Callithrix jacchus: one gene and its partner. The protein of the gene in region 1 purifies or fractionates together with the protein of each later gene. This does not show direct contact. Links are inferred from orthologs where the notes say so. Each region holds a gene or a part of one and is shown in the gene's direction. Other genes may lie near its edges. The genes, in order: CD19 and CD81.

Region 1 (2,627 bases):
ATCTCTTCTGATCCCTCTTTACAACGCCCCTCTCGCCAGGACGCGCCCAGCGTTGGGCCGCGGGCCTAGGGGGCACAGCCCCGTCTTATAGAAACCCGCGCAGCGACGTCGAGGCGGATGGAACCGTGGGGTCCCGGAGCCCCCCGGGAGCGGGTGAATGACTGGGGGAGGGAGGGGTCGTTCCCCACATGGAGGGGGTTGGAGCGGTCTGTGGCTGGAATAGTGGACTGGGGCAGGGAGGAGAGGGGGCCTGACTCGGTTCCAATCCCCATCCCCAAATCCCCAGGACCAGAAGAAGAGGAAGGGGAGGGCTATGAGGAGCCGGACAGTGAGGAGGGCTCTGAGTTCTATGAGAACGACTCCAGCCTTGGGCAGGACCAGCTTTCCCAGGGTAAGGCTGCCCTCCCCCGTGGCCCTCCACTTCTCTGTGGTGAACTGTGGACACCCATGGACATTCTTCCTTCTCCACCAGATGGCAGCGGCTACGAAAACCCTGAGGACGAGCCCCTGGGTCCTGAGGATGAAGACTCCTTCTCCAATGGTAACTTGGGGCCTTTGTGGGACCTTGAGAGACTTAGGTGTAATTGCAGTGCTGTGATACCCCTAGAAGGGGTCCCTGGAGTTCTCTCTCTTCTGCCGCAGCTGAGTCTTATGAGAACGAGGATGAAGAGCTGACCCAGCCAGTCTCCAGGACAATGGGTGTGTGTGAGGATGGTAACAGTGCAGGGGGAAGGTGGAGGATGCTTGGAGGCCAGGAGGAATAGCAACCCCCTCTTCCCTTTCCAGACTTCCTGAGCCCCCATGGGTCTGCCTGGGACCCCAGCCGGGAAGCAACCTCCCTGGGTGAGAGCTGCTTGCCACCAGACTGCCTTACACAGCTTGGGTGACCGGGACTCAGCTCTGACACCAGACCCAACTTTGACCGGCCTCTGACCCCAAACCCAAACCCAATCCTGACCTTAGATTTCACTCCTAACTCTATCCTCAACACTGATCCCCATTCCCCATCCTGACCCCCGAGTACTTACCCCCTCCCTAACTGTGAATGTCAACACGGATCTCAATCCAGTACCATCCTGGACTTGACCTCTGCCTCACCTCAGCCCCAGTGCAGACTGAAACTTGGACCCCAGCTCACTCTGTGGCTTCTTCATGACTCTGACTCCCTCCAGTTTTTTTTTTTTTTAAGACTGAGTCTTACTCTGTCACCCAGGCTGGAGTGCAGTAGCTCACTGCCACCTCTGCCTCCCAGTTTCAAGTGATTCTCAGGCCTCATCCTTGTGAGTAGCTGGCATTACAGACGTTTGCCACCACCCTTGGCTAATTTTTCTATTTTCAGTAGAGATGGGGTTTCGCCATGTTGGCCAGACTGGTCTCAAACTCCTGACCTCAGGTGATCTGCCTGCCTCAGCTTCCCAAAATGCTGGCATTACAGGCATGAGCCACTGAACCTGGCCAGTTCTGTTCTTGACCTCTTCTCTAGCCATAATCTAACCCATACCTAAAGCTGAACCTATAGCTAACCAGGGCCCCAAACCCTATGCTGGCCGAATCACCCCTTCCCAGCACAGCATGGGTGATGCCCCTCACCTTCCTCTGTCCCCCAGTCTCCCTCCTTACCGTAGGCTGTACTTTCCACACCCAAGCCTCCAATTATCCATCTCCGCCCAAGCAGGGTCCCAGTCCTACGAGGATATGAGAGGGATCCTGTATTCAGCCCCCCAGCTCCGCTCCATTCGGGGCCAGCCTGGACCCAATCATGAGGAAGGTGGGTGATTCTGCTGCTGTCCCCTCCTGTCCCCTGGGCTGACTTCACCTCCCAGCCTACTTCCATTGCTACCCGTGTTCTCCTCCTCCCTGGTTCTGTCCAGATGCAGACTCTTATGAGAACATGGATAATCCTGATAGGCCAGACCCACCTTGGGGAGGAGGAGGCCACGTGGGCACCTGGGGTGCCAGGTGATCCTCAGGTGGCCAGGTGAGCTGGGACTGCCCCTAGGGAAAGGGGGGAGGGAGGGAGATAGGCAGGGATGGCAGTGGTGCTGGCTGTCAGGGAGGAAGAAGGAACAGGGCTCCTAGGGCCTGGTGGCCAGGGGGAGGGACTGCTGGAACCCTCCTCATCACTGTTTCTTCTGCATAGCCTGGATCTCCTCAGGTCCCCAAGATTCACACCTGGCTCTGAAATCTGAAGACCTCAAGCAGATATGATGCCAACCTCTGGAGCAATGTTGCTCAGGATGTGTGCATGTGTGTGCGTGTGTGCGTGCATGTGCATGTGCGTGTGGTGTGTATACATGCCAGTGACACTTCCGGTCCCTTTTGCATTCCTAAATAAACTCAATGAGCTCTTCCAATCCTATGAAGTAGTGCCCTTGTGTGGGAAGGGAAGGGAAGGCATCTTGAGTCCCATGGAGGAGGGAGGGCTGCCTTCTGCATACAAAGGGCCTTTTCCTGGCTCGGTGGCCCACACCTGTACTCCCAGCACTTTGGGAGGCTGAGGCCAGGGTCTTTGACTTCTTTGTGTTTCTCCTGCCTATGACAGTCTCCTGGGTTCCTGGGCCCCTACTGACAACCCCTGGGGCCAGCTTGCTTTGGCTCCTGGCACAGTATTACAGGCTACACAAGTT
Region 2 (4,394 bases), on another chromosome or scaffold:
CCTCTCCTCCAGCTTCCTGAGAGTGGGATCAGTGTCTCCCTCCACCCACCTCCCCCTGCTGAGGACACAGCCCATGCCTTTAACGGGAAGTGTCCCCCTCACTGGGGACAGCAGTGAGCTGACAGGAGAGCAGGTGTTCAGGACACCCAGAGAAATGTTTCCTCACACTGGAACTCTTCCTGTCGCCTTCGAAACAAAAAGAATCCTTGAAGACTCTCAAGGGATCATTTAAGAGTCTTTTCTTATAATGTCACTTCGACTGGCACAAAACGTAAAACTAGGCATAAACCAGTGCTTATGTTCTTATGCAGGCATGAAGCCAAAGTCAGTTTAAAAAGTAACCACCAAAAAAACTAGCAGAGCACAGCCGATTCCAATAGAACCGTTCTGCCCACTGTGAGCGCTACCGGCCACCCAGGGCCACGTGAATTTAAATTACAATGAAACACAATGAAAGATTCAGTTCCTCGTGGCCACATTTCCAGTACCCAGTAGCCACTCACGCCAGGGGTTATCCAGGTACAGAACATCCCCATGGTTGCAGAAGGTTCTATTCCACAGCGCTGGGTTGGACGACATTTGCTAGGACTGGCTGGCTAGAGGACCGGTTCTCCGAACCTTGTCCCACGTGGTTCCCAGGTAAGCTCCCCCCCATGACGCATCTGCGTTGTGGGAAACCGTCGGTGAGTCATCTGCTGCAAAAGCCTCCGCTCCTTCATCTGGGGAGAAGCACCCCTCACTCTGAATCATTAGCCCAAAGCAGTGAGTGCAGCGTGCCTGGCCCCACACCTTCCGGAAGGCTGGCATCCCTGGGGCGCGACACACCAGGGCATAGATGAAATAGATACAGTATTTGGAGGTTCTCCTGCAGGTGGCTCTGGCCTCCCAGACACTTCACACTGGTTGGGAGCCGCCCTCTCAGGCCCCAGTGACCTTTTCAGATGCAGACTCCCGCAGCATGGGTCAGCAACTCCCCGCTTCCATGGGACAGGGATTGGTTGCCTCTACTAGGACCTTCAGGCCAACACCCACTTGCTAGGGGGCCTCATGCCCAGGTTCCAGCCCCCGAGAGCAATGTGAGCAAAGCTTGCTGTCTTTGCAAAGCCAACCGCTGCGGCATCACCTCCTTCGGGGAGCCCGCCCGGATTGTCCAAGGTGCTTGAGAGAGGGAGGAATAGGTTGCTCTCCAAGCACCCGGGCTGCCCTCCTGGGCAGAGGCTGCATGCCTGTCCCCAGGCGCGGTCCTGCTGCCACCCTCGGGGACTCCGAGCGCGATAGCAGCCCGGGGACGCCTCCCGCGCCCAGTGCGGTGCACCCAGGGCCCTGAGGTCCCGGCCGAAATGCTCCGAGTTGGGGAGGTGCAGCGCCCCACACACCCCCCGGCTGCGCGCCCTGGCGGCAGGAGGCGGGGCAGGGGCGGGGCTGAGGCTGGCCGGGGCGGGGCCTACGGGGGGAGGGGCCGCGGCGCCTTTAAGTGGTGCGGAGCGGGGCGCGCGCCCGGCCAGAGAGCGAGCGCGCAGCTGCGGCGACAGCGGCGACCCTAGCGCGCATCCGGCGAGGCGACCCCACCGCGCATCCTCCCGCGCCCCCCGCGCCCCCGCGCCGCGTTCTTCGCGCCCCAGCATCTCGGCCCGCCAGGCCCCCCTGCCGGCCGCCCGCCAGGCCACGCGCCGGCCCGCCCGCCGCCCAGGACCGGCCCGCGCCCCGCAGGCCGCCCGCCACCCGCGCCGCCATGGGAGTGGAGGGCTGCACCAAGTGCATCAAGTACCTGCTCTTCGTCTTCAACTTCGTCTTCTGGGTAAGGGCCGGGCCGGGGTCCGGGGTCCGGGGCTGGGGGCACGCACCCCACCTCGGCTTCCGGCAGGTCCCGCAGCCGGGCGCTAGGCCCCGAGGGCGCAGCGCGGGCCGCGAAGTTGTGGGGCCACCTGTGGGCTCCGGGAGCGAAGTGGGGGTTCGCCCGGGGCCGCCGCGCCCCCCGACATTGGTGCTGGGGGCTGCGAGCCGAGTTTCGGGGCCTCTGTGCGCGAGGGCCCAGCACGGCGGCCGGGCGGGGGTTCTGGGGGCCGCCGGGCAGTTCCTGCTAAGTGGTGGTGATGGGTGCGGTGGGCGCGGGCCTGGATCCGAGTACCCGGTTGCCCCTCAGCTGAGCAGGGGCACGCGGGGTCCGCTGGCCGCGGATTCGGGACCGTTGCCTTTCGGGGACGAAGGGGGGGGCTCGCGGGCGGGACTCCTGGCGCCCCGCCCCCATGAGCTCATCAGGGCCGCCGCCCCTGGATGGTGGGGCGGGGGCGCACACTTTGCCGGAGCCCTGGGGCCATGCGCCTGACCCACTTCCCGGCCCAGCTTACTCTACAGTCTGCTGTCAGCACCTGGGACCTTCCTGGGGGTCGCGCTTAGGGAAGGAGCGCAGACACCCTCCGGGATGGCCCAAAAGCTGGGGTGCACGCACCCTGGCGGTCCCTAGCTGGGGGCCGGTCTCCCGCTCCTCACCCAGACACGTTCCAGCCTAGGCCTCTCCCCAGAAGGGCTCTGGAGGCCTTGCGGGAGTTGGGTCCCGCGGCCCTCAGTTGGCACAAGGAATATAGTAGCGCCAGGGGCTTGGAGTGGGTGCCAGGGTCTGGGCGTGGGCCCGCTGCTTTAGAAAGGGGCCCCCACACTGGGCATCTTTGGGTGCCAACGTAGGTGAAGGAGGGTCTCCCGCTGAGGGTGGCTTTCTCCTGCCCGCAGGCTTTGCTGTTGGGAAGTGACTGACGGGCTTTCGCCTTTTGTTTCCATTTCCGCCACTGTTGGAATTGAGGAGGGGGTGGAAATCCCTTCTTGGCCTGGAAGGACTGGAGTGGGTGTCCATGGCCTTGGCTTCCCTGTGGCCACGCCCCTGGGCAGAGATTGCTAGCCCCTCCCCTTGCCTCCCCCAGGCTGTCACCCCCTTCTCGTGGAAGACTCGGCTGAGGTCCCGGTAGAATGAGTGTTTCTCAAGTTAAGGCAGAGAGGGCAAACTTTTAAAATGGCCCCTGGAGCCACTGTGCGGGACCAGGGACATCTGTTTTCCATCTGGAGGGCTAAGGATCCCAGCACGGATCTGGGGCAGGGAGATTATTTGGAGGGAGAAGGACAGAGGCTGGACTGAACTCTCAGCTGGGAGAGGAGTGAGGCAGTCACATCCCACCTTCCCCAAGGCTGTTCTGCATAGCCTGCCCGGGACACTGGTGGGAGTCACCCCGTCCATCGGCTCTGCCCGGGCAGTGGGGGCAGCGAGGCTGCCTGGGAAAGGGTTACCCTCCCCAGGCATGGCCCTGGGACCTCGGCAGGTCCTTAATGATGGCCTGCTTCTGGCTGGGCAGGTGGGAGAGGCCCAGGACCCAAGGACATCCATCCCTCTGCTGGCCCTGGAGCCCCATCCCCTGCCGAGGAGAATGTGAACCTGGAGACAGGGGCTGAAGGGGGTCGGGGAAGGGGACTTCTCCAGAGGCGGACTTTTGCTCTCTGGATGGTGCGTCAGCGCTGGATGAGCCCCTCCTGCCTGCCCAGGCTGAGAGGTCTCCCTGGCAGCCCTCTGGGAGCGTCGCCAGGGCGGGCCTGGAAGTTTCCCAGGCAGCTGGGGTGGAGGCCTGATGTATCCCAGGGGTGCTCATTATTAAGCCTCAAGGAAATGGTTCCGAGCCCTCGCCTCTGTGCTCCCGCAAAGCATTGAGAACTGGTTCCATCCACAGTTACTGTGAGCCATCCATCCACTGGGGCTCTGCGGTAGCCAGAAATGCCAGGCTGGGTGATGGGGGGCTGGTAAGCACCACCCTGCGGGAGCCCCCTCCACCCTGGCATCACAGGGCGTGTGGCTGAGGGCACCGTGCCATGGGCTTGGGCCTTCCCCGTCTGCATTTCGGGTCCTCAGTGAGCGTGCCTTCTGGGGTTGCTGGTGGGTTCCCTGACATGCCTGAGTGCTGGTGGGGGCCTTGGTGCAGGAAGGGCTCAGGGCATGGGTGTTGGGCAGGGCTCCAAAGGGACCCCAACCTCAGAGCACGCAGTCTGGCCAGGCAGGATGTGCTGTGCAGAGGGGCTGCGGGACCCCTGCAGGGCCCAGAGGGCACAGTGTAGTCCTGTGGGCTCAGGTGAGGCTGGTGGGAGTAGGCTGACAATGGGTGTCTGGATGGACACTTGTTAAAAGTTCCATTTTAGAGAGGACCTCTTCCCCAGGAAGGAGCCCACGCACACACGAACATGCACTCATACACACATACACGCATTCACACTTGCTGTCCCCCTCCCCAAGCCAAGGTGCAGGGGTGGGGGGGGCCAGGCATTGAGCAGGTGTGCCCTGACTGCTTTGGGGCCGGCGAGAACTGGGCTCCCTGGGTGCAGGGCCAGCCGGTCCAAGTAGGAAGACAGTGCAGACACCC

Evidence for each region.
Region 2: the proteins of CD19 (region 1) and CD81 purify together in Homo sapiens (affinity purification with western blotting, with the first as the bait; 3 studies listed by BioGRID). This does not show direct contact. The link is inferred for Callithrix jacchus from reciprocal best matches to the Homo sapiens genes CD19 and CD81.

Annotation. Positions count from the first base shown.
Region 1 is NC_133513.1:29,024,410-29,027,036, reverse strand, and holds the end of CD19 (B-lymphocyte antigen CD19 precursor), read left to right. Parts: intron 1-39; coding exon 40-153; intron 154-286; coding exon 287-391; intron 392-472; coding exon 473-541; intron 542-642; coding exon 643-699; intron 700-786; coding exon 787-843; intron 844-1,675; coding exon 1,676-1,768; intron 1,769-1,871; coding exon 1,872-1,963; 3' UTR 1,964-1,976; downstream 1,977-2,627. UniProt on the Homo sapiens protein: Functions as a coreceptor for the B-cell antigen receptor complex (BCR) on B-lymphocytes. Decreases the threshold for activation of downstream signaling pathways and for triggering B-cell responses to antigens.
Region 2 is NC_133511.1:129,491,980-129,496,373, reverse strand, and holds the start of CD81 (CD81 antigen), read left to right. Parts: upstream 1-1,503; 5' UTR 1,504-1,732; coding exon 1,733-1,798; intron 1,799-4,394. UniProt on the Homo sapiens protein: Structural component of specialized membrane microdomains known as tetraspanin-enriched microdomains (TERMs), which act as platforms for receptor clustering and signaling.